Linked DNA regions of Daphnia pulex. The protein of the gene in region 1 purifies or fractionates together with the protein of each later gene. This does not show direct contact. Links are inferred from orthologs where the notes say so. Each region holds a gene or a part of one and is shown in the gene's direction. Other genes may lie near its edges. The genes, in order: protein SGT1 homolog and E3 ubiquitin-protein ligase NRDP1-like.

The links.
Region 2: the proteins of protein SGT1 homolog (region 1) and E3 ubiquitin-protein ligase NRDP1-like purify together in Homo sapiens (affinity purification with mass spectrometry; 3 studies listed by BioGRID and IntAct, with this or other methods). This does not show direct contact. The link is inferred for Daphnia pulex from reciprocal best matches to the Homo sapiens genes SUGT1 and RNF41.

What each region holds. Positions count from the first base shown.
Region 1 is NC_060023.1:194,372-209,682, forward strand, and holds protein SGT1 homolog, read left to right. Parts: upstream 1-7,170; 5' UTR 7,171-7,297; coding exon 7,298-7,329; intron 7,330-7,394; coding exon 7,395-7,443; intron 7,444-7,507; coding exon 7,508-7,739; intron 7,740-7,794; coding exon 7,795-7,979; intron 7,980-8,039; coding exon 8,040-8,546; 3' UTR 8,547-8,703; downstream 8,704-15,311. Other genes in the region: chymotrypsin BI-like, read right to left, coding at 1-65; brachyurin-like, read right to left, coding at 2,400-2,504, 2,572-2,659, 2,726-3,009, 3,077-3,234, 3,301-3,396, 3,464-3,639, 3,705-3,888, 3,950-4,130; brachyurin-like, read right to left, coding at 5,152-5,244, 5,312-5,644, 5,705-5,871, 5,939-6,034, 6,100-6,459, 6,518-6,569; dynein axonemal heavy chain 10-like, read left to right, coding at 8,895-8,962, 9,026-9,119, 9,183-9,362, 9,425-9,784, 9,840-10,072, 10,128-10,443, 10,500-11,189, 11,248-12,195; TIP41-like protein, read right to left, coding at 12,267-12,353, 12,417-12,575, 12,637-12,859, 12,930-13,246; ataxin-3-like, read left to right, coding at 13,736-13,759, 13,858-14,022, 14,089-14,225, 14,290-14,908. UniProt on the Homo sapiens protein: May play a role in ubiquitination and subsequent proteasomal degradation of target proteins.
Region 2 is NC_060021.1:11,011,099-11,026,609, forward strand, and holds E3 ubiquitin-protein ligase NRDP1-like, read left to right. Parts: upstream 1-5,774; 5' UTR 5,775-5,826; coding exon 5,827-5,916; intron 5,917-6,006; coding exon 6,007-6,149; intron 6,150-6,219; coding exon 6,220-6,376; intron 6,377-6,442; coding exon 6,443-6,730; intron 6,731-6,789; coding exon 6,790-7,065; 3' UTR 7,066-7,496; downstream 7,497-15,511. Other genes in the region: uncharacterized protein LOC124194673, read right to left, coding at 9,437-11,794. UniProt on the Homo sapiens protein: Acts as E3 ubiquitin-protein ligase and regulates the degradation of target proteins. Polyubiquitinates MYD88. Negatively regulates MYD88-dependent production of pro-inflammatory cytokines.

The sequences.
Region 1 (15,311 bases):
ACTGTGGCAGGAAGCAAATTCGTCACGAAGAATAAGACGACAATGGATGCAAAGATCACCTTCATTTTACCTAGAGAAAATGATCCAACGTTAGTAAAAAGTATCGAGTGGTTCTAGTGTGCTTGAAATGCTCACTTTATATATGCAGAGAGGCAGATGAAGAAATGGAAATTACCGTTCTTATCGTTGTTGAATATGCAGTTAAGACTTAAGACTTATTGCGTGCCGATGAATTAAGAAAACGGTTTGGTGACCTCATTTAGGAACGCACGGAATTCATATTTCGTCACTCATTGCTGAGCACTACTCTACACAGAATAGTTATTTGGATGGCAGGCATTGCTGGATCATTGGGTCTACACCATCGTGCTGGTGGTGAGCCATCAATAAATCTATCAAATTGTGTATAAAGATTGTGTTGGAAAATCTTACTTTCGAGATTCATTTGCCTTTCAAGATAATATCTCACCGACAGTGTGGGTTGAACCTGCATTTCTATCAAAGGCATGGAATTAAGCAAATGTTATCAAACTGACAATTAAATCCCTGTGTTCTCAGTCTCGCTAGGTATTACCTCATAACACTTGTAAAGAGCACCGTGTAAGCAATGACTTGTATAAAAAATACAGATAACAAATTACAAAAGACTGATTTATGTAAATCTGATTGAAAAGTATTACCTTTATGATTTATCAGGACAAGAGGAACTAAAAGTTCACCTGCATGCTGGCTGCATCATCTCATACTAATCTGCAGACATTAATGGTTCATTTAAAAACATCATACACACGGTTGGTGTTACTATATACCTTATTAGTGATTACGATGGATCTGCTAAGGGATTTGAAAACTTAAACTATCCAAATCTATTAATGCAAACAAAATTCTAACGACCACGAGGGGTACATTACAGAACATTGGGGGGGAGTGGGGGAGTAGGAGCAGGGGGAGGGTGAGAGGTGTTTATAGGAAAAACAAAAGAGTAACGTTACGCGAATTACAAATTTGAAGTTGCGAATAGAAAACAGTTCCAGCATCTGGACAAGTCTGCAATAGTTGATAAGTGTAAGTCAGCTCTATAAGTACCAAAATATTTTTACAATTTCAATGTGATTACGCTTTCGTATTTGTTGTAATTGGAGCACAAGTAGGAAAATGGTTGAACAATCATCATTGGCGTAGTAGATACCGTCCGGTTTGTTTCTTTATTAAACAAATTATTATAACATAAGACTGAAAAAGGGAGTGTGTTTGTTTTTTAAAACTTACGTGCAACTAACGACGGTCGGATCTTCCGTCATTCGTCTTGTCATTTGTTGTACCCAATCACGATCCTTGATTGATACAACACGCACTTTGTAATTTATTTGATTATAGCGGGGATTTTTATCATTTTTTTGTTCAAATAGCGCAACTAGTCAAACAGTGGGGGGTTGTTATGACGTCAATCGTCCCACTTTGTCAGTCAAAGATCGAGCAGCCGTCGATAAATGTATCACCTGCCAAATCTCCACTCCAAAAGGAAGTCCGCAAAAATGCCGTCTGCCAGAAGAACTTGTTAGGAGCCACGAATGATCTAACAAATAAAATAAAATAAAATAAAACAACTAGGAATGGTGAATGCTGGCATTGAAATAAAAAAAATGTGTTGTATAATTTATAAACACATGGAACAAGGGATTGGATTTTCAAGGAACAAATTCGCTGGATTGTCTATTGTAGCAGGCAGCAAAGTCACGAGGAATCAGATCATAATCAATTCAATAATGCCATATAATTGAACATAGGCAAAATGAACCTATGATATGCAATGAGAAAATTATCGAATGCTGTATCCCCCCACACTTGTTGAAGGCATTATTGACATATAGCCACAATTACTGTAAACAAACAAATGCAAAGACTTTATTTTAAAAAAGCAGAGATAAAAAAATTGAAAAGGTTATTAAATTGCAAAACAGATAATGTAAACCAGACTGAGCAAGGCATAGGTTATCTCTTACATGATTCAGCAACACAAAAGAAAATATAACTGTTCATCTGACTCATCTCCACACTTATCTGCATTAATTAGATCACTAAACACATTAAACAAACAGGAGGATTTTAAAACTGTAACAATAATCGGGTTCTTTTTTAACAAATATTTTGTTATGATCGAACCTCAAGGGAGCCATTTTAAAAACCCTCGGAAGGTCGGAGAGAGAATAAATGGAATACGATGGAAAACAAATGAGTAACGCTAAGCAAATTGCAAATAAAAGATTTGAAAAATAAAAAGATAAAAACAAGAAACGATATGGGAATTTTCAATTTTGTATAATTTCAGTAAGATTATTTTGCAATACAATAGCAATAGAAATTGAAATAAATTTGATCCGAGGAAATTTTCAGAAGAATTATTGGGCCGGATCCGAAGATGAGACTCCACACGCCGGTACGTTGTATGGGAAATCGCATGCACAAATTTGCGAATTGAAAACAGTTCCAGCATCTGGGCAAGTCTGCAATTTAGTGAAATCAGCAATTAATACCAAACTATTTGTTGCTATCTTTAATTTATGTAATTACGTATTCGTATTTGTTACTATTGGAGCACATGTAGAAGATGATTGAACAATCATCGAATGGATTGGCGTAGATACCGTCCGGTTTGTTTCTAAATTAATCAAATTATTATTACATCACACTGAAAAAAGTAATGGCTTTTCTTTGTTTTATTTACCTGCAACTAAAGACGGTCGGATCTTCTGTCGTTGTGGTTGTTGTTGTGGTCGTCGTTGTGGTTGTAGTTGTTGTGGTGGTTGTCGTTGTGGTTGTCGGTTTTGGAGTAGGAGCGATATCAGTGTTGTTGTAGATCCAGTCCAGGTAGTACCGGACTCGACCGTAAATATTAGGCAATCGGGAACTTTGACAGTTGACTGTAGCGTCACCTAGCGAGGCCACTCCTACGACCGTGTACGATTCCGTCAAGTTGTTGAAATAATTCATCGGCCCACCATCATCTCCCTTTTGTAAATAGAGAAAAAATCAGGAAAATTACGAACGTTTTCATTTAAACTTTAGGATAAATTACATAGCAAAAACGATTTCCGGTGGATCCATCGCCGCAAATGACTTTGTCACCGGAAAAGGGCCCGTTGCCCCACAGTTGTTGGCATTGGCCGTTGTCACCGGATGAAGAAATAACTGACGTTTGAACCTTGCGTAATTCAGGACTCAAACCCGAGTCCGCTGTATCCAAAATCAAAATTAATTAACAATTTGATTCGAATAAAAATAAATTAAAAATATACGTACGGGTACTGGAATAGTTTCCCCATCCGGCAAGAGTCACGGGATCTCCAACTTGGTCGGAATCATCCGAATACGGAAGACAGGCCGGTAAGATATATTCTGCGCATATTTTTAAATTGAGCTATTTGATTGAATTGAATTCATAATTCATTAAGTCAATTATTACTGGAATAGTTGATTTCCTGGGGCAGTTCCAACAACGCCATATCGTCTTCCGTTTTGCCGTAATAATAACCGGGATAAGTTTTAATATTCTGAGCAGGAACGACAACAGTTTGACGATGAGGTTCGTTCCCAGCAGACGTATCGTGCGACCCCAAAACCACCGAAATGTTGACAACCCTTGAAGAAATTCACGATTCAAATTCTACATTGCATAAACTATTGTTAAAGCTGGTTAAAGTTACCCGAAGGTGCAATGGGCAGCCGTTAGGATCCATTTGGATCCGATTAAAGTCCCAGTGCAAGTAGCTCTATCTCCACTCCAAAAGTAAAGATTCAGAAAAACCGTCCAGGGATATTCGTTCGGTTCCGACACTTCCCCACCGACGATCCTTGACACTGCACTATTGGCCACTCCGCATTTGAAATCTAATTTGAAACATTCAATGAAAAATTATTAACTATTTGAAATAATAAATAGGTGAAATACCTTGATTGGCTAGTGGGATAAAATCAGCATTCTGATCCAGAGCGAAGGATTTCAACTTGCCATTGGCTATGCAAGGCTGTTGAGTCTCCCGGGACAGAATGGCAGCCCAACCAAAAGACAAAAATCCAATAAGGAATAATGCCATCACCGTCCATTTCTGATGACTAAACGAGTACGCCATGGCAGCCAGCAAATTTGGTGTTTGTGTTGGATTTTGATGGGTTTGCTGTCCGCTTTTTATACCTTATTTTGGGCGGGGCTGGATAGCCATTTGCCATGTCATTTTACCGATAATCGTTCAAGGTAAATTACAAATAACTTTCCTATTTGAAAAAGATTAGACGAAAGTCTAAGATGTGACAGCAATTTATAATACCAGTGTTAATCTTCTTGAAGAAATTAGAATTTGTTGTGTTAGAATTGCAGAGGCTTATTACCATGTGCGTCATAGGGACAATACAAGTTGCATAAAAATAGATTTTCGATCCCACAACAGGGTCCTCGATAGATACGACATGCACTTTGTAATTTATTGGATAACGTAGGGGAATTTAATTTTTTTCAAAAGGCGAAACAAGTCAAACAATTGGTCCGTTATGACGTCAATCGTTCCACTTATTTAGTCCTTTTTTTTTATTGCTTCAAGTCCGAATGAATATTCATATCGTTATTGTAAAAAACCTTTCGTTTCCTAATCCATTGATGGCACATAAAGCTGCGATGAATTTCATTCAATTACGGCAGTATAAAACTGACTGTACACGAATGCCAACGATAATGCATTGTTATTTACGCGACAGGTAAAATGCGTCATCTATTTCTTAATCAGGATCGTAAATCAAGATTAAGGCATTTTCAATTTAAAAAAAAGGCGTGTCTCCTACGATCTAATTGAACGAATAATATTCCGGTGCTACATAGGATATTCAAATGCTGATACCAAAGATTCAGTTCAGTTTTCGACTGTTCTTATGTCATGTCCTTATTTTATATAAGTGCAAAGGCCTTGATACACAATTCGGTTAATGATCAAATATTACAGAGAATTTTTTATTATTCACTCTGAAGATATAACCAGAGAATCGATTTGTATTTCAATTAATTGTTAAGTGAACATGTCTCATTGCAAATGATCATGTGATCATTTCTAATTATTTCGGCTGCTTATTCCTAAACGTTAAAATGAATTGGAACTAGCTTTTTCAACGCGCTAAACCTCCGCAGGCCGGAAAATTTTCCGGGTAGACGCAGACCAATATTTCGGGATCAAATACCGTTCCAGCATCAGGACAGTCCTGGATATGTTTCAATTATTAGCTAGTCAACGAATGAATCTTTGGAAATGAATTTTAAAGGAATTACGTAAAGATAAGCGTAGCCGTTGGAACATTTGTAAAAAGTAGTGCAACAGTCGCAGGCCGGATTCGGGTAGATTCCGCTAGGTTTTCCTTCACAGGTAAAGTAGCCAGTGGTTGGTGCAGGCGTTGTTGTTGTGGTGGTTGTGGTTGGTCTGGGAATTCGGGGGATGCCCGTCGTGTCGTGAATCCAATCGATAAAGTAACTGACACGCGCGCAAATGTTCGGTTTCGTGGAAATTGAACATTCGACACTCGTGTCACCAATCCAGGCCACACCCACTACCGTATATGTGTTCCAATAGGAATTGTAAAGATTCATCGGTCCCCCATCATCGCCCTGAAATGTAACAAGGTCCATAATTGATAAATGAATTTGTTCTGCGATAAGAATTCATACGTGACAAAAGTGTCGATTGTAACTCGAATCACTGCAAATGATTTTGTCGCCGTGAAAAGGACCCACTACTTCGCCGGAGGCTTTCTGCTGACAAATTCCGGTCATTCCGGAAGAATCGATGATGGAAGAACGGACACTCCGCAAAACTGGGCTCGTTCCGCTGTCAACTAATTATGCAGAAATAAATTTTTGTTTAAATTAGCAATCGAATCAACTAAAATTTCAAAAATTTACCGGAACTGGAATAATTTCCCCATCCGGTGATGGTTACATCAAAATCAACGAAATTTGGGTCATCCGAATAAGGCAAACAGGCCGGTCGAGCGTAATCTATTTTAAGAGATAACAAATATTATTCATTTTATTTTTTAAAGGTTTTCTAGACATTTGAATACCGGACATTACGGCCGCTTCCGGCAACTGAACAAGGGCAATGTCATTTTCCACTTGTCCGTAAGACCAAAGTGGATGGATATTCCATTTCTTGGTACTGAATTCTTGTCTTGGTAAACTGTTGGAATTGGTTACGTCATGCGCTCCCAGTATGGCGGTGACGTCAACAACTCCGTAAAGGCAATGAGCGGCCGTAAGGATCCATCGGTCGCTGATAAGAGTTCCACCGCATTGTGCGGAATCGCCGCTCCAAAACTGAACCCTCAAATAAACCATCCAGGGGAATTCATTGGGTTTCGTCTCCATACCACCAACTATTCTGCTGATTGGTCGATTGGCAATTCCGCACTCAACAGCTCCGCCTGTAAATCTCAAGTGAAATTACAATGTAATCAATTAATTTAAACAGGAAATGCTTACTTCCGTTGACGAATAACATGAAAATGGACAACAAACTAAAAATGACCCTCATTTTCTATTATTTGGGAATCTTGTAATTGTTCGTTCCGACCGCTGTGTAATTTGGCAACTAATTGCTACTGGGTTCCGACGACAGACTTTAAATACCCTGAGAGATTTTGGGCAGAGTTCCGATTGCCTTAGGACTGCAGGCTTGTGCATGATTTATTGGCGCAATCTAACATTCTTTTGTAATTTGTTTTAAAAAATTGGATTTCGTATTTTTCAGGCGGCAAACGAACAAACGTTGGACATGTTGGAATCTTGAAGAAAATATGGTGGTTTTATTTGTTAGAATACCGAGCGCAAACATCGACTCATTTTTATTTTAAGCTGGAATCTGATAAAACTTGAATGTCACGGTGGAAAGATAATTTTGTTTGTCGACGACGGATCAGAGTCTTAATTTTTACGACCCGTCAACATTAAGATTACGTTTTAAAATTTTGAAGAATTTTTCACGACACAAAATTGAGTAAACATATTCAACTGAATATTCATTTGGTAACTAGTTTCCTTCGTAAAATTTCCTAATTTGTTAAAAACAAAGCATGTGAAATTTAAATTTGAGCAGAAATTATCTAAAAATTATCTAAAAGTTGCTGTTTAGCAGCACTTGGCTACCAGACGACGCCGCAATGGAAAAAGCATTTCTCGGAAATTCTAGAAAAATTTACGTGTTGTTCAGTTCAGTCGTTTGTTTGCCGAGTCTTTCGACAGGTCTCTTTGAGTGAGGCAAAAATGTCTTGTGATACTCCATCAGAGTTGGTTTGGTAATTCGTTATCACATTAAGCTGTTGACATGGAAACACTGACTGACTTTACTTTTCTTTTACAGTAAGGCCAATGCAGCTTTTGTCAATGAAAATTATGAGGAAGCAGTAGAGGTGATTTGCTTGACTAGTTTAGTTTTAGGTAGCACTAAACTAACCACTTCTCTTTTAATTCTAGTTGTACAATGAAGCTATTAAGATTGTAGATGATTTACCTGAATATTATACAAATCGGGCTCATGCTCTGCTGAAACTTGATCGTTTTGCTGAATCCAAAAGTGATGCTCAAAAAGCCACAGAACTGGATCCTAGCGACTCTAAAGCTCACTTGAGGAAAGGAATAGCTTGCTTCCATCTGCAACAGTTTGAAGAGGCACTTGAAGCGTTCCAGGAAAGCTACAAACATGGAGGTAACTAATTTCAACATTTTTCATGAATACTCAGTGCAGCAGCTTTTCATTCTAGGAAAACATCCATCAGATGGTGTCAGACAATGGATTACTTGGACAGAAGAAAAACTTGCCAAATCTAGAAAGATTCCTTTGGTCATCAAGCATGATTGGTACCAAACAGAAAGTCATGTTTGTGTTACTGTTCTCGCCAAGAATCTCAACCCTGATGCTGTCAAAGTAGATTTTGCTGCATCAACAGTAAGTTTTTATCTAAAAAAAATGTCACAAGTTATTGTCACTAAAATGTGTGTTTCATAGATGGCGATGAAAGCAAAACTACCGGATGAAACGGATTACGAGCTCAATTTGAATTTGTCTTACCCAATCGTGCCTGACCAAAGCTTCTTCTCAGTCATGAAAACCAAAGTCGAGATCAAAATGAAGAAATGCGATGGTATACGGTGGAGTTCACTCGAGGGCCAATTGCAGGACAATGTCAAGCAGATTCCTGTAGCTGCTGCATTATCTTCTGAACAGCCACCGGTCTACCCATCATCATCTGCCAAAAAGATTAATTGGGACAAGATTGAGTCGGATATCAAGAAGGAAGAAGAAGAAGAGACACCTGAAGGGGAAGCTGCTCTCAATCATCTGTTTCAAAAGATTTATGGCGAAGGATCGGATGAAATCCGCCGAGCCATGAACAAGTCGTTTCAAGAATCCGGTGGAACTGTACTCAGCACAAACTGGGACGAAGTAGCCAAAGAGAAAGTTACAGTCAAACCGCCTGATGGAGTCGAGTTCAAAAAGTGGGACGAGAAATGAACTACCTGCCATTGAAAAATAATTTTACCGTCCTATACATTTAAATGGGCCGTTTTTTGTTAAACACAGAAAAATAACTTGCTTCTAATTTGCCTCCTGGATTTTGTCCTCATCTCGGGTTCTTTTTTGAAAATAAATCGTTCTTTTTGCGCCACAATTTTGTTTTGTCCAGAAATCGATAACTAGTTGCCACGGTAACCGTTTCAAACTAGTTTTATTTACACCATGGAGCTTTCTAAACTTGATATCAAAGGACTAGCTTTATTATTACAAAAGGTTTAATTCAACCTCAAATTAAATTTAACTTACCACCAATTTAATCGATTGGTTAATCAGGTTTATCTTCCAATGATGGAGCATTTAGCGCGTAACGAAAAAAATCGGGAATGGCTCGACACACTGACTGATTTTCAAGAGTATACAAGTTTTCATTTCACTAAACATTAAAGAAAGTAAAATTTTTAATGTATCAACATTAGAATATTAGTTCAATTTTTACTGCTGATTGAAGATCGCGATCTCACCAAAGTTGAAAATCCCATTAAGCCAAAGACCTCAAGTAAAGGCTATCCGGTATTGATTACAATCCTTAAATTTTAAAAAATGTAAATTTTAAATTGATTTTTGAATGAAAAGACAAATTTTCCAACACTGAGGGACGAGTCCGTCTTCTGGCAGAAACAACTGATTGATCTCAGCCATCAGCAACAATGGATGGTGCAAAATTGGGGAGAAGTGACGATAGAGACGGAATCATCCTTACGCCAAGTCCACTACACTCTCAAACTCTTCCGGCTAGTCAGAGATCCAATTCAAGTGAATATTTCATCCATGAAATTTTCTCTGAATCCTAATTAAAAAATAATTTTTTTAAAAAGGTTTTTTCAGAAAACAGATCGATAGAAAGGATTGATCTTTACGTCAAATCCCTGGCCAGTGCGTTAAAGGCTGTCATACTGCAACCCAGTGCAAAATCAGGGATTCACTCAAAGTTTTCCGAATTGGTGGCCAACAACACTCACATTCTTGCCCGATGGATGCTGCACGTCCTGCAACCGACTAATCTACTCAAACCGGAAGTGGAATTGGTCGTCAACGCCCTCAAGGTGTGGGAAATTCAATGGGCAGAATCCAAACTGGAAGTGGTCGGCAAACTAACCGGCCCGGAATTTAACGCCATGTTTCTGGCCACTCGTACAGTCCTGGATAGCATCTCAACAGTCCAGTCTCTGATCAAGGTATTAATAAAATTAAACTGAATAGAATTTTCTTTTTACCTCTAGAATGTTGTAGGAGACAAAAGCTTTGAGGGAGATGTCGGAACAGATCGACGACTACTTTGCCCGTCAGCGGCTGATGGCCACAATTCGAGACAAATTGGAAAAAAGGATTTCCAAACTGGAAATCCGGCTCTTTTTGGTTGACAATCACGAAGAATTCCAGGAATTTGTTAAAAGTCACCAAGCGGCTCAGAAATTGACTGAAGCGGAAATCAAATCCACCATAAAACACGTCCTAGATGCTCAGTAAAATTACAACATTTTCATTTGATTAATAAAACATAATACCTTTTTTAATTAGCACTTCGTTCGAGGGATTGAAACTGCTACGGAAAATCATCGACAAGTCTCATTCACTGGCTGGAACGCATTCGGGATCTTTGGACGAATTCCTGGAACAAAATCAACGAGAGCAACTGAGTCGATTGTCGACCGAGATCCGCCTCATCCGCAGAGGATTCGACATGACGGATTACTTGAACGAGAAGGAAGCCGAGAATGTTGACATGGCCCAGCGACTGTTTGAACGTCGTTTACTCTACCATCGAGTCAAAATAGCTTTGCTCACCATTTTTCCTCATCCAAATGATTGGGACGAAACGGCCGCATCAACCAAAGTAACGAGGGGTGCACTTAATTCAATGCCAAAATTACACTTAAACTTCTTTAACAGATCAAAGAGCAGTACATTGAATTGGCCAAATATTTGAAGTCGACAGAGGATAAATTGCACAACAAATGGTTTACAACTGTGCAGAAACGGGCCAACAAAGCCATGGCTCAGCCCATCCTGAAAAAGACAGCCAAAGGATATGTGACGACACTTCAAGACACTTTGCAAACCATTTGGGACGAAACTCGATTGTTTTTACAGACGAGATTCCAAGTTCCGCACGTCTGCCACATTTTACTGATGCAAAAACCGGATTTGATCCATCACAATCGAGCCATCGTGGCCATCCTGGAACGTTTGACCTCGGTGGTCGAGAAACTTACCCCGTTCGAATTTGTTGTCCTCACCAGCTGCTACTCTTCGGTGGAGGACGGATTGAATTTAGGAACGACTCACGTCACCTGGCCTTCCCTTTGCCTGGCCAGTTACATCCAGGAGCTGATGGAGAGTGTCGAGAAATTTCAGGGAATGGCGGAAGATGTGGCCCTCATCTCTTCTGTTTTGGACAAACGAATCGCCCAGATTAACGATTTCCAACTGTTGGTCGAGTCTCAGCACGACCTCAACCCAGTCACCGGTAGTGGCCCGCCCTCTGCTGACCAGTTTTTCAAAAAGTTGAGTCAATCGGGAGACGAATTCTTCCTCAACGTGAGGCGGATCGTCTCCGAATTGCCACCCATTCTTCTCCAGGTAAAAAAAAATGACGTACCAATAAAATTTTACATTGACGTAATTCAATCGCTTCTAGGTGGAGAGTATCGTGTGCAATTCGCAAACAGGATCGGCTCCTGAATTGCAAAACTATTACGACTATTGGCGAGAGAAGATTTACGTGGTAATTTTGAAAGCAGTTCAAACTAGATTGTTTGAGGCGCTGTCCAATTTACTTGAGAAGGGACCCGCCCAGTTTGTCATTCAATTATCCCTCCGAGATGCTAAAGTGGTGGTCGAGCCGGACTTGGAATCCATCGAACGCGACATATCCAACATCTCCCATCACTGGATCGAACGCAGTTCCTTGGTGCCTGAATGGCAGGAAGGATCGTGCAACGCCTTGCCGGTGGACCAACGATCACTTTACGACCGGCTGAGTCGTGAGCCGTTGCTCAAAGTGACACTCCAGCGGGACCAGGATCACTGCAAACACCTAGTGGGAAAACTAAGGGGCATCATCGACAGGTGGAAAGATTGCGCGGAATTGTGGAGTGTCAACAAGATGGGAGCCTGTGAAAAGTTGAGAGGCACCTCGCCCACATTGTCCCAATACGACGAGCAAATGCAACATTACCGAAACTACTGGAGCGAAAGGGTTGGTGCAATGGAGGCCCAGGTGGTCACATCTTGCGTCACTCTGCAGATGAAACAATTGAAAATGGCGGCGACGGAACACATCAGGGAATGGATCCGCCAATTGGGGGCCACCTGGTTGGCTGCTACGAAAGAAAAACTGGAAAAAGTCGAAGAGCTGATTAAAGTTAGACACTTGCAGGTGGACGGCAGCACGGAAATCGACTGCGAAATCCTAATGATGGAAGTGCAAGAAAGTTGGCACCGATTGTATCACTACAACGTCGTCGTGCCCGAGGAGAACAAGGCAAAATTCAAGGGCGTCCACAAAATGCGTCGAGTTCACGCTAAATTGAAAGCAGTTCAATTCAATCCCAGCAAGAAAAAAAAGGGAAAAGATGCAATGTAATGTGAGAGCGAATCGTTTTTTCGACAATAAGTAAACGTGCTATTAGTCGTGAATGCTTTTGTATGTGTGTTCTAAAATTCCAGTTTTTCGTAGAGTGAATGAGAGAGCGACAAGTGTTGAGAAATTTCGTTGGGATCACCCCAGAAGACGCGAGGGACCTGTCGAATTGAATTGTTTAGACATTTTTGTACGTTGTAATCAATTTTGTAATACTGTCATACCTTGAGGTCCTTAGCCTTGCTCTCTTTTGATGTGTATTCACGCAGAATGTATTGATTATCTTTCTCGTAATAGAGTCGGGTGTCGTTGATGCGGATAAGGACGTCATCGACGCGCAGGTAGAAACGCAATAAAACAAAGAATCCGCTTGGCATGGCTCTCTAGTGACAACATTTGATATCAACTTTACAAAGAATGTGAATAAAAAATGCAGATTCATACCACTTTGATGGAGAAAGAGGCGCAACCGTGATCGGCGAGCTCATCCTCGTATAAATGAATTTCATCAAAGAAGAGAATGGCTTCCTTTTGTTTCAGTTTCTCCATGTCAATCCTCAAGTCGGTTGCACTGACTTTCAAATCTCCAAGGACAGTCCCCCGATAGTCTGTTGTAAAGGTCCAGTCAAATGGATGGCTTACTTTGTGTGATACATTCATGTCTGCTCTGATTTAAGAATTAAAGATGGCATGAATAAAGCAAGCACATTATGGTAATTTTTAGAAATGATCGTTACCTGGATTCTTTCCAAGCTTCTGCTATCGCAACCTTGACTAGATCTTCCTTGTCATTTACTAACTTCAAGGCATCCAAGGCATTGAATTCGATTCCAGAGCCGTTGGAGAGCTGAATTCTTAAAACATTATCGGGAAACACCATGTCAGGCAAATGGGGGATTGATAGATCATGAAAAGCAGCATGGCGATCTTTACTGGGTGAGTTTCCAGTTGACTTGGAAGGAAGAATGTGGCTTTTAACTGTTTGTATAGTCCATGGTAGAAAGTCAAAGCTCTCTTCCGTAGCAGCCGGAGTGGAAACAACGTTCCTGCTCATACCTTATTTCTATCGAGTTAAAATCTACCTAAATCAAAACACTACTGTATATATTTTGGCAAGAAAGAAAATGGGGCTGTTGGATAACAATTTTTACAGTTGTCTTTTTTCAATTTTAATCCTAATAACCCGGCGGAAGTCAGCAGATAACTCGTTTGAATAGGGGACCAGGTGTGCGTGATGAAAAGAAAACCTATGGACTAGCAGACGATTCTAGAAAAATAGTTAATTATTGATATTAAATAAAAAAGTAATGTGAGAATTGAAATAAAATAACAGTAATTTCAAATTTTTGTAATTAAAAACACTAACTGTCTTTTATTTTTTTTAAATCGTTTAGTTTACTTGATTAAAAATGTGGCAACTGAGAACTGACGAATGAATAATAAACGAATGGCAACGTTTTGTTGTGAAATCCTACTGACTAATTTTTCTTGATAAAAAGTTTGACAGCCGGAATCAGCGATATTATTTCGGTGTTTTGAAAATATGGATATTATTTTTCACGAAAAGGTATTGCTATTCTTTTATGGTATGGTTCATTGCCTTTTAAACACTGTGTAATGTGTTGAACCAAGAAACGTATTAAATCATGTCTTGTCAATCTATAGCAACAAGGGTCGTTATGCGCACAACACTGTCTAAATGCGCTTCTTCAAGGACCTTACTTTACTGCTGTTGATCTAGCTACAATAGGGCATCGTTTCGATGAAGAGGAGAGAGCTCGAATGGCTGAAGCTGGAGTCTCCAGTGAAGAATACAATCGGTTCCTTCAAGTAAATTTCATCATCATAATTTGTTTCCGTTTTCAACAAAATAAAATTACTAATGTGTTTACTTAGGAACCATCATCTAATGTGGATGACAGTGGCTATTTTTCAGTCCAAGTCATCTCTGAAGCACTCTCGGTATGGGGACTAGAACTGATTCCTTACAATTCTTCAGATCCACGTGCAGCTGTGACCAGACAGTGCCCAATGTAATTATGTAATGCAGGAATATTTCAAAATATTTATTACAACACATTTCATGTTTTTTTCCAGAAATGAAAATGCCTTCATCTGTCACTACAGAGACCACTGGTTCTCTATTCGAAAACTAGGCAGACAATGGTTCAATCTCAATTCCATCCTGTCAGGCCCTGAACTCCTTTCCGACACATATCTTTCCCTCTTTCTGGCCCAGCTGCAGACTGACAAATATTCCATCTTCATAGTTGTAGGTGACTTGCCTAGTTGTGAGGCTGACAAGGTCTTGAGTTTAGCCCCCCTCTCTCCTCGCCACTTTAGAAAAGCCCCAACCAAGAAACAAGAACCAGAAGAGGACGACGAACAACTGAAGGCTGCACTAGCCATGAGCTGGAAAGAAATGGAAGAAGGGGATGACCAAGAAGCCCTGAACAAGGCCATTCTACAGAGTTTGCAAAGCAGTCAGCACGGTCAAGAACTGCCAGCAGCTATCGCCCCAGAGGCGAGCATCAGCACTGTCGACGAGGATTTGAAACGAGCCATTAGCTTAAGTTTAAGTCAAGATCACGGGGAAACATCTTCGTCTACCGCAGAGGCCTCCACATCGTCGGCCATCTCCGATTCGGTTGAATTCATTCGACAGAGAAGACTTCTCCGATTAGGACAGTCAGCCACATCGCCAAATAACCCTTGAATCAATCAATTGCCTTTTTTGTTTTCATCCTTTTGTTAATTTCAGTGTTTAAAATATTCCGGAAAAAAGGAAGTGATGTTTGTTTCCTTAAAAAAGAAGTGGAGTTGTCTAAATTCAATTGTGTAATATGATTTTGTCTCTTTGTTTTGAAATTCTTGAGCTAATAATCCGACTGCTATCGACTTGATTAAATGGTTTGTGTACAATTCTAAAAGCGAATCGGATTGAAACTAATGGTGTTTTGCGAATTTGTTTAACGTCTCTATTACTTTGTGAATTGATATTTAAATATGCGCCAGCAACAGTTTGTTGCCATTTAAATATTGAAATGCGATAACAATAGCAGCAAGCTGACAAGTAAATGCAATACACACAACACATTCAATGACATTTTCTAAAACAT
Region 2 (15,511 bases), on another chromosome or scaffold:
GAAATTCCCAGGTGATGATGGACGCCAGTCTAACTTCTACTTCACTTCCAATGTCGTCCAAATTCGCCAATGTCGCAGTAGTAGGAGGGGTGGTGTAGTTTGGTCGGTGTAGTAGCTCTGGTGTAGTATGATCGGTGAGTCAGTGGGAGTTATCCCGCTAGGTGTTGGTCTGGTCACTGAGAGAAAAGGCGGCTCCGCCGGCTTGATTAAATGAGAAGAGGAACTGTATAAAACTTGACTTGCCCAATCACTCGTGCCGAAGCAATTAGGCGAGTGCCGAGTGAGCCTAGTGAGCAATTCGTCCAATTGGTTGATCAGTAACTTCCAATTCCCATATGCCAATATGGTTTCTCAATATGGAGTAGCCGTTCAAGGAACGGTGGCTACTGCCATCTAGTGGCGTTGTTGGCGTGCTGGATAGCAGCCATCTGGCGGAGAAGAGAGATGACTCGAGCCGTAGCGTGGTGCGTAGGGACGAGATTAGCATGGAATGGCAAAATAAAGTATATACAGCAAAGTGGACAAAACTGAGTTCAGATTGAAGAGCACTGCAAGTTTAATGTTGGTGGTGGATTACACAGCACAGAAATCAAGTTTTTCCACTCTAAAAATTCAATCCAGGAGGAGCACCTCTTACACACGTCCGATCGGTTCGACAGCAGACGAACTGATCGTCTGTATAAAACTTGAATTTACTTATGAATTCATCGATAATTTTCATGGAAAAAAAGGAAAACTTTTGACAACCACTCAACACAACAATCCGCCATCACATGAAAACGACGACGCCTATGTCATCTATTGGACAACTCTGACACTCCAAGTCCCAACAATCAAAAACGAAATTTTAGTTGTGTGAGACACAGCATTAAATTTTTGAATCCTAGTGAAATTGTAGATCTTAATAAAAACAGAAATATTACATATTTAGGTACCGATAATGTTTTACCGCACTGGTTATCGAGCTGCAGTTCTGTATGTGCCATGTATAAACTCAAAGCAATTCAGTTCTTTAGCTACTTGTATAACTTGAACAACGCACTTGTATTTGCTTTATTAAACCTAGCTTGAAATCTTGAGATTAGTACAGAGAACAAAGCTCATTTGCTAGTTTTATGCAAATTTTCCGGAAGTATACCGGAAGTAAGCGATAGTGCCTCTACCATTGAGCTGTCGTCAAAATAAACCAAATATTCGTGATCTACGTGAAATTTGGGGTCGATTAGATGTAATTTAAACGAAATCCAGATTTTGGCCAAAATCGAGAATTTTCCTGAACTATAGTTCAGGAAAATTTTCAAAACCGGAAGTACGAAAACGTACAAAAGAAAACATGAACTTTACCACAAATTCGACGAGGATCACGAATATGTGGTTATTTTGTGCGTCGAATGAATATTTACTGAACTACTGACTGAAATGGGAAAACCGGAAGTAGAAAAAAAAACATATTATTAAAAATCTAGCAAGTGAGCTTTGTTGCTGAAACAAAAACTGACAGTTATCACCCAAAATTTTTTTGAAGTAGCATTGAGAAATATCTACAGAGATGTTTAAAGTTGACGTAACTAAACTGATTCTGACAGGTAAAAATGATCAAAGGCTATGCTGTCTAGTGTCAGAAAGAAGAAACGTTTTAAAGTAACATGAAATGTCCGCTGTAACTCGGTGACACTCAATTGAAAAGAACTGACAAACAAAGGTAACAAATAACTTTGATACTCACGTAATATTCTCCATGAAAAATTTCATCGAAAAGCCACACGCAGCATCACACATCAAAAAAGACGAAATCCCCAAGGTGATATTGAACGCCACTTCAACTTCTACACTGAGGAGAAGGCAATCAAGACAGATATCCGTTCATGTTGTCTGCAAGTGATTCCAGACGTTTCAGCACCTGGGCAACAGTGCTGGAGAATAGATTGCTGAAAGTGATAACACCCAGTGTTGGTAAGGTAGACCTGCCAGTTATTCAGAATGTGTTCCTATTCATTGTAGCATTCTATTAGGCTACATACTACAAGGCAACAGCAAATGTAAAGTCAATCATAAACGATGGTGGAGGTGAAAAATCCTTTCCACACAACCCAATCTGACAGAGACTGGGCATATAATTAAATGAATATCACATGTACCATTAGAAAATTTAGGTGCATAACAGCCTAAGTTAGCTTTAAACTTGAGTTTATAGGTTACAACCAACTCAAGCATCTTGTTAGAACAGCAGTTTTAGAAATGAAATAATCAAATAAGCAGGCAGATTATACACACATAGTGATCATGTTGTATTATGCAATTGGAAAAGGAAACAGAATCAAACACAGATCATAAGTCTATCTATTGTTACTAATTTCTCCCATAATGACACTAATTTCCCAGTAACATTTTCGTCCATACTGCTGTATCGGAACTTTACAATAAACTTCGCTCCAAATCCAAAGACCTTCAAAACTGCGACAAACTGAATGACAAAAAAAAAGTTTTAGAATGATTTATAAAACATAAAGTAAATGTCTAAGCGTAGACATTCAGATTTTATACAGCCAATATTAATGGTTTCATTAAGGTCAAACGGTAACTCGTTTTCATCAGACTGGTAACAATTTAAAGTGATATGAACTCAAATTACCTTGTGCAAGTTTCATAGCTCCATACCATCCCACAGACGTTAAGCAACGGATCGAAAATTAACACACCTAAAATATGGAATAACGTTAGGAGAAAACTAATCTCTTTACACCAACATGTCTATCTACTATCAGGGACTCGAGTGGGTCTTCATAGTTATCAGAAACACAGGAAACATTTGTCATCACAAAATTTACAATGAAGGTTTGACATCAATCTCTCTATTACCTCAGGACTCCTTAAGCCGACACTATTAGATCCAGCGTCTCACCGCATATATCCCTATTAAAGAAAATCAAATGATAATATTGAAATTTATCCGGTTGCCCAACCCCTTGCTTTAAGAAAACAAAGCAAGAAAGGCCTCAGGGACTCGCTTTAATGTTGCAAACTGAACAAAAAGAAATCTGGTGTTCAGCAATTTCTTTACAAAATATCATTTGCCCAAGATCGCAATAATCGAACCATTCTTACCTCGACAACAGGGATTTATCAAGAAAACGTATATAAACAAAATCTCCAACAATCCAATAGACCGTAGTCAGACCTAGATATACCAAATTATTAAATTAGATAAGAAAAATTTAACCAACAAACAACACAACATACCCAATAACATGCTCGCCAAGTACTCCAAGACAACCGACCGAGCAACCTAAAAAGACGACAAAATAAAATCATCGTTAAGGTGCAGAAAGCAGTAGCTCAAATGCAGATTAAGATAAATAATCTATCAGGGACTCGAGTGAGTCTTCATATAATTGTCAGAAACACAGGAAACAATTGTTCATCATGATATTTACGTTTAATTCGTTAACATATTGAGCTATTACCTAATATCCTATGAAGATGGCGCCAAAAAAAAAAAACACCGAACAATAAACCAGTCCATCTGAACACACAAAAAACACAAGTTATTTTCATGAATTTGTCCGGTTGCCCAACCCCTTGCTTAAAAAAAAAACAAAGCAAGAAAGGCCTCAGGGACTCGCTTTAATGTTGCAAACAGGACAATAAGAAACCTGGCGTACAATTGTCTCCTTAAACAAACCTGTTTGCCGAGTCTCGCATTAAAAAAAATTTACCTTGTGTAAAATGAACTCCTCGGATTCCAATGACGTTGACCAAGAAGCAATACCACATTACCTACAGAAAAAAATAAATCTATAACATCAGTTTGTATCGCTGATATCGTCAACTCAGTTAAAGATCAAAAGGAAGGCAGAATGAATCATCATGGAACTCGGAAAATGCTTTTAAGCGTTCTCATCATTTCAATTTACGTTAAACATTACAAGTAATTCTCTCTACTCACTACGTAGATCATGAAATCACCAGCATCTCGAAACGAAAGAAAATGAAACTCCAGTTTTTGGCCCAGTAGCTCAACAATCGACGGCGGTTGTTAAACAAGACAATCTGAATAAACGAACCAAACAAATCGTCAATATTTGTTTACAGCCGATTAAATGATATTAAAAAGCCTGAATTATCAGGGACTCGAGTGGGTCTTCATGGTTGTCAGAAACACAGGAAACTGTTGTTCATCACAAAAATCCAAAAGAAACCATTAAAACTGTCCATTTACCTAAGAATCGCAAACACCTTCATGATTGTATCTCATCTAGTGTAATGCACACCCACTGCCTGCAAAAAAATAAAAATAAACACCATTAAAATGTTAAATCTTCCTGTAAAGTCAAAACAAATTGTCTCAAACCGAGGTGATCAACCTCTGCAATAAATACAGATCGAGCATAAGTGGTTAGACGTTTAATTTATGAGATCCTCTAGCACCGGAATACTACATGTGCGTTAAACCGGTGACTCTGAGGCTCAAATGCAAATGTAAAAATAACTATACCTCCTCCATTGGCTCCATAGCCGTAACAGTCGACATCCATCCTCCACGAAATGTCTTGGCATGGAATCTTCTCTGTAAAAACGATATAACGTTAAGGCGAGGACTAGACCAAAATGACGACAAGTCACTCGATACTTTCAGCACATTTAGTAATCAGGGTACATATTTAGGTGTCCTAAGAGTGTCATCAGCAAAATCCAACAGCATATTTTACATATATGATAAGAAAACCAACCTTTATTCCTCGATTACATTCAAATCAGCGAATTCTGGAAGATAGGTTACAACCAACCGGTGCAAAACCAAGTGAGGTCAGAAATCAATCTAGACATAATTGATCATGAAAATCTACAAACCATTTCAGTGTGATACTGCTTTGGTCTACACTTCAGAATATTGCGATAGAGATTTAATCAAAATATTAATTTAGGTACACTAAATTTCATTGTAATCCTAGGGTCATCAGGACTATTTACCCATATACAATAGGAATTCGTTTTTACCTTCCAAACTAGTCGTCTTCAAGGCACCAATGTAGCCTAAATGCATGATTTGTCTCACAGCCCTTCAAAAATTGTTTCCGATCCTTGCACTCATCTGCCATCATCCCTCCTGGCATTGAAGATATCAACCTAAAATGAACAGATTAAGAGATATAATCAAACCTGTTCCTACATGAGGCAAATTAACAACTTAAATTGACAAGTTAGTTACTAGACAAGAGGAAATTTCATTCGCCTCATGACCGTTACTGCAACATTGATTTCAGACTGAACATGGAATTTCACTTAAAACTACTTATTATCAAACTTGTCCATTTTAACCAAAGAAACCCCAGACCAACCTGAGGCTTCTTTCTCTATAATATACTTCTTAGAGAAAGTCGGTTTTATTAGACTTCAACCTTACCAAAGCAATACACATATAGATATTAAAAATGTTCAGGCTAATTACTGTGTTAAGAGCGTTAACCATATCCTACAACTACGTTTTCAAAACTTAAATGAGAAACTAAAAAATTAGAAAACCCAGAATAACCACGTGTTGATCAACTTACATGTTCAGCATTTGAAGGATTGGTTTGAAATGAAAAGAAGTGACGTTGGCACTTCCATATGTAAACTTCGTTCCCTAACCGTCAGACTGCGTTTTACGGTTTAATTTTTCTACCGCCCGATGGCTCTGCAACACCTTGTTGTTGCATTTATTTAGGTACGTCAATTCTGTTCCCCCTTTATTAAAAAAGAAAGAAACGCGAACTCTTACTGAGAAGCAGGTGTGTTTACTTAATTAGGTCAAAGTTTTCTTGGCCGTTTTGTTAACCAAGAAAAATGGGAATTGAAATAAATCGATTTCAAGGAGAAGTTGATGAAGAATTGTTGTGTCCAATTTGTAGTTCAGTGCTCGAAAATCCGTTACAGGTAATAATGACAGTTCGCTTCCAAAAGCGAGAGTAGCAATAAAATTTCCCCAGAGGGAATGTGATGGATTTAATAGACTTGTAATTTCAGGCACCCAACTGTGAGCATGCATTTTGCTCTGCTTGCATTCACGAGTGGCTCTCGAGACAGCCAACTTGTCCTGTCGACAGACAAAACATAACCCCTCCTCAGCTGAGACCTGTTCCCAGAATACTTCGGAACCTACTATACAGGTTGGTGGTTTGGAAGTTTGAAACCTTATTATCAGTATGAAATTGTACCATTTCTCTATTATTTTTCTAGACTACAGCTCACTTGTGATAACTCTGTTTATGGGTGCACTGCAATATTGAAACTAGATGCCCTGGAGTCTCATGTACAAGAATGTGAGTTCAATCCAAAGAGACCGGTGCCATGTGAGCTCGGCTGTGGGCTAGTTGTGCCAAAAGACGAGTTGAAAGTAAGTGGGTTGTTTTACAGGTTACAACTTTAAATAGTACCTTATTTATGTTGATTGCATTTCCAGGAACACAACTGCGTGCGAGAGCTGCGCTCGTTGATGCAGGCCCAGCAATCGAAACTAGTTGAGGTGCAGGCGGAAGTAGCCGAGGGCAAATTTCAGATGAGCGAACAGAAACGAGAACTGCAGCTGCTGAAGGACTACATGCTAGCCATGCGGAACGCCAATCCTTCGCTGCGGATTCTGGCAGATCAGATGGAAGCCGACGAAGTGAGACGCTGGGCCGAAACTCTACCCAAGGCGAGAGTCCTGCGCTGGGGTGGCATGATCTCGACTCCGGACACGGTGCTACAGGTAATATCCTACAGTTGGCGAGCTCAATACATTCAATCAAATACGATAACCTTTTAAAGTTGCAGGCAATGATCAAGAGAGCCCTTTCCGAATCGGGTTGCCCACCGCACATCATCCAGGATCTGATGGAAAACGCCCACGAACGGCGGTGGCCGACGGGATTGTCGTCGTTGGAAATCCGCCAGCTGAACCGGCGTCAATACGAGAACTATGTCTGCCGGAGGATTCCGGGCAAACAAGCCGTGGCCGTCATGGCCTGCGACAACGGACATATGAATCCAGATATGATATTGGAACCGGGTCTCATCATGATTTTTGCTCACGGTGTAGAGTGACACCCCGGAATTCTTGTCAGATTATTAATCCAACAACATGTTTGTCTTCAGTGTCCTCGCGACCGGCTGGACCACTCCAGCGAGCTGACACTAATGAATTTGTCCCTTTTGTCCTTTAGTTCAGAAGCAGCAGTCCTCTCAACTTACTTAAAAGAATCTGATTTATCTTTTTTCGAATTGTTTATCGTCATCAGTTACTTTCATTGAATCGTGCTCAGTTTGGGGGCTAGGTGTAGGTTTTTATTTGAAATGTTTCTCAATTGGTGTCCCCGCTCTTCGGCGGTTGTAAATGTTCGATACTTGATTAATGATGGCAAAAATCTTGTTTTCTTTCATCATCAACTTTTATGTGCAAATAATGATAGTATATTCCGCCGATGCTGCGGAATAATAAATAATAAAACAATAACTGAGAAGTCAATCGTATGGTATAGACAGTGTGTGTTTGTGTGTATTTTTTTTTTATCTTTTCGTCGATTATTTTTCTGTTATTATCTTTTTCAAACCGGGTTTACTTCTTCTCTCTTTTCAGTTATAATCACATCATCGTCACACATGTTATGTAACATTTTTGTTTTTTTCAAAGTGTGGAAATGGGTTGAGGGTTGGGGGTGGATTTTTTGGAGATGTAATCGCACTACATCACATAGCCATGCTCATCCGAGTATTTAATCACATCACTCAAAAACACTTCCTCTTTTTTAATGAAGTTGATTTTCTTTCTTTTTCGAAACTTTGTTTTCGTCTCCATTCGAATGGCGGAGGGGAAGGATCGGCGGGTAGTGAAACAACATGATACGGGAAGCTAAAGAGATGATTTCAAAACAAGTTATTCACAATTAAGGACAAAATCGATGAGCCAGAGAGAGATAGAGAGAGAGAGAGAGACGTAATAATAAAGTGGTTGGATCGAAATCAAACGTCAAAGAAAAACTACATTGTGTTTGTTGTGTCTGTGCGAACATGTATATACAATTCTTGTACTGAGCTTCTGGAATCTGAAACACACACACACGCATGGAAAATAAAAGACAAATGATTGGCTTTTGTTTCGACGTAATAGAATCGATAATATAATATATAAAATCTTCTGTATATCTATTTAGAGAGAGAGAGAGAGAAAATAAAAGATGGGGGGTGAATCAAACGGCAATTAAAGTTTGTAAGGGGGGTGAGCGAGTTTCAGAATGAAGGGAAAAAATGGGGGGTAACCGACGATCCCGAATCTGCTGACAATCGGATCTGATCTGTGAGGTCCGTTCGGTTTTGAACAAAAAAAAAAGAAAATCAAATAATCAAAAAAAGCCCACACTGCGCAACTGCAGCACACATTTGTTTGTTCTTCTCCTTGTCGCTTTAACCTCAATAATTCTTCGTCTCAAATTGGGCGGGGTCGGGAGAGGAAAGAAGCGCAGCAAGACGTCGTCGTCGCTCCATAATGACGGCCAGTGAGCTCAATCTCGCTCGCGCGAGCACGAACACGAGAGAGAGAGGGAGAGAAAGATAATGTGGGTAATCACGACACGACTTGTCCACAGACCCGCGCAACCAGCACACACGCTGGGAGGACAACAAAAACCAAAAGAAACGGGTTGAGGAGCAGGAGAAATGGTTGTTGTTGTTGTCGTCGGCTCTGTGGTGACAATTTTTGAACACAGTCTCAGGTAATTTATACATAGCATGATACAATCAGTCGATGGGACTCTTTTTTTTTTGTCTTTTTTTTCAATACATCCAACTCGCTAATTAGAGGTGGAAAATCAAAATACGTGTGGTGTGTGTGTACTCACTGCGTGAGTCTGTGCGGAGTGGAAACGAGGGAAGAAGGTCAAATAATCGAAATGGCGACATAATAAGACACGACCAGCGGATGGTGAGAGCAACAACAGTGGAGGTTATAAATGGAAAGACGAAGTCACACACACACACACAGAGAGAGATACTCAGGTCATCGAGTCAACGAATTGGAATGGAGCAAATTGGGAGAGTTGGTTGCTGTTGTCGATGGAGAAAACGGAAGCTCCACCGCAAGAAATTGCGGATGAATGCGCTTTCCTATTCAATCCTCCATTCGGAAGAGAATTAGGAAAACCAAATATGAAATCTTTTTCACGGAACAACAACATCATCGCCATCTTTCTTGCCTTTGTTTAGACACACAACCGCAATGTGAATTGGGAATTTAGCCATACGCAATCCATTCCGGATTCCCCCCACCCTCTCTATTGGTGGGAGGGGCCAAAAAGAAACGAGTAGAACAAACGAGATGTGTAGCAAAGACACACACATAAATAATAATTAAAAAAAAACACCCAATCAATGACAGATTATTAAAAACGGGGGGGGGATGTCATTCCGGAATTTTTCTTTTTTATCCGGAATCTTTGCACCGTGGATCGGAGACATGGCCCAAGTCCAAGTCTTCGCTGCGGGTGTGCGTCCTGAGGTGCCTGGTAATCATGTCGCGTCGGCAGGCGGCGTAGGAGCACTGCGGGCAGCGGTAGGGCTTCTCGCCCGTGTGCGTCCGCTGGTGGGTGCTGAGGTGATCGGAGCGTGAAAACACCTGGCCGCAGATGCGGCAAGTGTACGGCTTGAGACCCGTGTGCAGCCGCATGTGGCGAGTCAACATGTCGCTGCGGGCAAACGGCCGCTGACACACTTCGCACTGGTAGCCCTTGACGACCACGCCGGAATCGGCCGAGGGGACGGGTCCAGCTGCTGCTGCTGCTGCAGCCGACGATGAAATGGTTGGGGTCGTGGCGCCACTGGTGGTGCCACCGTTGAGCAGGGCTGAAGTCCTTTGCAGTTGGACGGGCAACTTGTGCCGCGACGTCAAATGTTTGACCAGCCGGTCGTGCTGGTCGAAAATCTGGCCGCAAATCTCACAGCCGAAGGCGGCCGGATGGGGGCCGCCCGGAAGCAAAAGCGGAGCGGCCATAGAGATGGGCGAAATGGCCTCGCTGTCGGCCGACAAGTCGACGGACGAGGAGGAATATTCGACGGCCGAGAGGTACTGCGACAGCGACAGGCTGCGCGTCAGAGCTTTGAGTCGCGACCCGCGCGATTTGCCCACACGCGAAGACGTCGCCGTCAGATGCGACGGATGCGACGGAGGCGGCGTCTCCAGTCCGCCGCACAGCGGAGAGGAGAAGGCCGACAACAACTCGGACGACGACACAGAGGCCGTGCTCGTGTTGGTGCTGTTGGTCTGGTTGGGGCTGTCGGAGCTGACGCTGCTGCCAGAGCGGACAGACAAGTCGACGGGAGACTCTTGCTGGCCAAAGAGCGGCGACCAGCTGTCGGTCGAGTCGGACGAGTTGCGCTTGAGCGACACCATCAGCGGCGGCGGCCGCAAGTGTTCCAGTCGGCTCAGCCGCTGGTGGTGGCCGTGACCAGCACTGCCACCACCGCTGCTGCTGCCGCTGCTGCCGTTGAGCGACTGGGACGCCGCGGCGGACATGGCCGGCGTCAGGACCCAGGAGGCCGGAGCGGCCAGAGGTGTTGTCGTCGTTGTTGTCGCCTGGTGATTCGACGAGGATTCGACTTGACCGCCGGCCATCAGTCGCTCCGAAACGGAATCGCTGCACAAATCCGAGTCGGACCTGGCCCGTCTACGATTCGACGGCTCCACCACGTCGAGGAGGAAGGAGCCGCCAGAGACGGGAGCTGCCGGGCGCATGGGTTGGCCCGTCAGGCTGCTGATGTAATGATGAAACGGCGAGCTGGAGGCGTGAGGCGGAGTGATGGCCTGATGAAGATGATGATGAAGCTGGTGGTGCTGGTGCGGATGATGATAATGAGCGACTCCTCTCTCCTTGACTCCTCCGCTGGTGGACAAGTTGAGGGGCGTGGCCGCGTCCGGCACGGTGAGCGATCGGCTGCGAGTGAACGCGGTGGCCGACGGGTCCGTCTGGTCGTTGGCCGGCGGTTCGGCGGCAAAGCTCAGCGGACTGAAGGAGATGCCGCTGGGCGAGTCGACGAAGGTGGCGCTGCCCTGACTGCACGGGCTGAGTTGACTCAGCCGGTCAGAGTAGGACGAGGTGAGACCCAATCCGGGACTAAACACTTCCTCCTCGCCTTCCTCGTCGCTCTGCGTCATGCTGGCGCTGCGCTGGGCCGAGCAGACGGCCGCCGCCACGACGGCCGGCATGACGTGGTCGAAACTGAACACTTGGCCGCCACTGTGCTGGTGCGGATGCAGGTGGTGGACGTGCTGGATGTGTCGCAAATTGCCCCGCATCCGCAATCGAGACATGGACATCAAAGTCTGTTGCTGCTGCGGCGACGGAGACTCGCCACTCCCCACCGACGACTCCATGCTGACCGACACGGGTTCCTCTTCTTCTTCTTCTTCTTCTTCCTCCTCTTCTTCTTCTTCTTCGTATTCTTCTTCTTCTTCTTCCTCGGAGAGACTGACGCAAATGCGTCCGCGTTGATCGATGCCTTCGATTATCTCCGGCTCACTATTGTTGTTGTTGTTGTTGTTGTTTTTGTTGTTGTTGCGGAGACTACTATGATTACTACTACTGCGGATGTTGTTGTTGTTGCGGTTCTTGTTCCTGGCGACGGGACCGCCACAACCGACACTGGAATGAGCGCTATTAGTGATCCTACCAATGGGAGCACTGCCGACCAAGTGGGCGATTCTGCCGACCAGCTGATCCAATCGTTGGCGTTTGCGCTGCGTCGTCGACCTTGCTGGCCCAACGACTGACGTGGTCGAGATCATTCTTGTTTGGGATTCTGCTGGCTGGACAAGACCTAACGGCTACTCCAACGACGGCCAGCACCAACGTGGCCGTGACACTACAACTCACAACTCGGGTGGACGGGCGATGATGATGCTGGGCAACTGGGCGAACCAATCCAACTGCACTGAGCCACTTTGTGTTTGAGACAGCAGCAGCAGCAGCAGTCCTGCAGCGTCCAGGGAGACCACTGGTTGGCCCACCAAGAGTCTTCCTGCAATATCGGGGAGAGAAAAAAATAGTAAAGACATGAGTGACATTGAATTCTCAACAGGGATCTTTCCACATCCCTCACTCTCTCTCCACGCTTCATGTCACTGTTCATCCCCCCTTCACTTGTCTGTTTGCCACATTAGCTACAAATAATGAGCTCTTGTACGAGTGGACAGTAACCAGTACGCAGACACACACCCACACACAGACATACACAGTGTGTGTGTGTGTGTGTGATGGACAAGGCGAATTCAACTAGACCGTGGCAAAACGAAAAAGAGAAAACTGCTCGACGTCTTAATTCCCCGTCTAAACATGTACAGTCGACGCACGCTAGTAGTTTCTTCGATCTTCTTCCACTTCTACTGCTCAGTGAATAAGTTGTCTGCTGTGGCTGGATACTTAGCCCAACTCATTAACTAGGGCTGGATGAATCTAACCTGATTACGTTGGTCTAATTCCCGCAGGCAAAGCCTTTGGTCTCTCGGCCGTCTAGAGAGGCACATGATTTCCTTGAGTCAATTCTTTATTAAAATCACGCGGTGACACAGAAGCCGACGAATTCGAACTGTCAAAGTTGTGCCAAACGAAAAAGAAAAAAAAAGTTGGTGCGGCGTTGCCACACGATTGCACCAAAGCGACAAACGCAGTCGCTAGCAAAAAGAAAAATCATTTTCAAAAAGAAAAAGAAAAAATAAACGCAATAAAAAAAAAAGCAGAAAAATAAAATAAAATAATTAAAAAAATAGTCTTAAATAAAAAGGTGTACACATAGTCTGCACACGTATGTTTCGGGCGGGAGTGTCTCCCGCTATTGATTGCCATACACCAGTATTGATTTCCAGGCGTACATATATATATATATATATAAAGCGTATATAGGCCTCTCGGTCTACTACTACTAGTCTATCTATCTCGGCGTCTTCTACATATTTCACCGGATGGCAGACTCTTAAATATGTGAAGGAGAAGCAGAAAAAAAAGTTTACTCTCACTCACTCACTCACTGCCTTCTTGTGTATAGCTTACAAATAATAAATAGAGAGGGAGCCAGGAGCCAGTCAGAGTTTTTCCTTTTCTTTTTTCCCGAACGGAGGGAAAATGTCCCATCCAGTCGATGGAAGAAAAAAGAAAAGTAGAAGCTCATCACGCAGAGACTATTTTTTTATTTTCTATTTTTTTTCTTATCTCAAAGAAGAAAAAGAAGAAAATGATAGAGGGGATGAAGAAGACTGTGATCTGCGTCAGCAGCAACACACTAACGGGTGAAGCCGAACGTGAGGGAGAAACTCACGAAAAGAAATAGACACACACAACATTCTTGAAGATCAAGGACACACGGAGCAACGGGGTAGAGAGAGTCCTGGCAACACGAACCCTCCCAAAAAGAAAGAAAGAACAAGTCAAAAGAAAAACACGGAGATGATCACAACAACAACGTCGTCCGTCGTTCTCCCGCGTTACTTTTTCTTCTTTTTCCCCATCATCAAATTCGGGATCGAATTTTCTTTGACGACGGACAGACATAGTGTCGTTAGCGGGGCGCCGTGAATGTGAGACCGCGATGCGGTCAATCATCCATCTTTACCGTGTCTATCAAGAAAAAAGGCCCCTCCCACCACCAGGGCGTGACGCAATGGCCAGGTGTCAAAATGGGCCACCAACGTGTCAAGAGGACGACTCTTTTTTTCTTCCGCCATCTCCCAATTGAAAAAATTGAAAAGAATCAAGTGACAAGTCGAAAACTTACATCCTGGCTGACATTGCAGTGCACCGTCTCGAGGAGCTGCCAACCCCACAGCCCGTGATTATACAACTCTTTGATGGCAAATGGCAAATGGGGGTTGAAACAACAACAACCACAACACTCAAACAACAATGTTGTGTGGTGGTGGTGGTGGGGAGTTGATAGTGTCTGACTGGTCCACACAAACACACACAAAACAACACGACAAAATCGTTTGATTCGCTCACGATCAAAAATATAAGACCAAGGAGATCGAGTGTGTGCGGGAGTCACTGGAAACGCCGAAGCGCACTCAACGACGTCCCGATGGCACCTGCCTAGAAATACGGCGACTACACCGAAGCTATAGGGACGGACTGACGGACGGGAGTGGCGGTTGGGGGGGGGGAGCACCTTCATCACGACGCCGACGCCATGCAGCATCGCCAACCCCCCCCTTTTCCAACCTTTCCACGTCCAATCTCTCAAACTCCTACTTTTTTCGTTTTCTTCTTTTTTCTTATTTGGCTGTTTTTCCGTGTTATATACCAACGGTTTTCTCTATCCCGCCCCCCCCCCTTCTTTTTTTTGGCCCGAGAGGTGGAAAAGAACCGTAAGTGGGGTTGGGAGGGGGGTGGTGGCGGGAGCGTAGAGCAAAAAGTGATGACGTCAATGGCACAAGCTCAAGAATCAATACCAGGTTCTCTGCTGCTGCTGCTGTTGGCTCCTCAAAGGGCGTTGGTTCCGCTCCCGCTGTCGTCGTCCCTCGACTCCCGATTCCCGTTTTCCTTCACGAAATGTTTTTTTTTTTCTTTTTTCTAAAGAAGAGAGAAGAAAAAAGGGGGGCCTCGATCGACATCTGACATGGCCGCCCCGCCTAGCGGCCATCAATCTCCCGCCCCTCCGCCATTGCAAAAGATGAGAGGAGAAATCAAACGGGAGAGAAATTTAATTGCGCCATGGCCAATCATTAAGACAGAAATAACGTCATCTGTTGGTCGTCTAATGCACGCAGACGAATAGATTGTGACGTCTGGTGCGCGGCACTTGTTGGCACGCGGCTATTTATTCAAAGAAGTCGAGCGGGAACAGGGCGGGAGCGGCCATGTCTGTATTTGTCTACCATCTTTTTATTTTGTTTTGTTTTTACCACGGGTGGGGGGTCGTGGTTGGACTCTACGCAATACCGGCGGAGAGGCTTATTGACTTTGTCTCGGCCAAACTTAGTCAAACAAAATGTGTTCAGCTGGGCACTTGATGTATGTCGGTCATTGGCACCAGCACCACCGCCGCCGCCGCCGCCTAATCCCGTCAAACTCTCCCCAGTGTTTCACGCTACGCTTTCTAGTTGAACGCGGCCTTGGCCAAGGCCGTGCGACTAGTCGCTTACCGCCAGAGCGCAGGACCATCACGACTTGAATTCAAAATAGGCGCCCTGAACTTGTCAAAATTTCCGCCGATCGAAATTCAAATTTTCGGCGCCAAAATTTCAAAAACAAAAAAACAAAAAATGTGGGAGGCTCCTGATTGCCTCCTGTCCAGTCGCATTAGATGAAAACCCCGTGACGTGCCTAATAAAAAAACAAAACAAGAGTCGGACATGCACATATACGCCGCACAAAGAAAAATAGTACTATATCTAGTGTGTAGTTGTTGTTGTTGTTGTTGGATAGATGATACGCCCCACCTACGCAGACTGGCGAGTTGCGGCTTGAACTTTTCCCTGGCTGAACTCACACGGAATGGGTGTGGGTGTGTG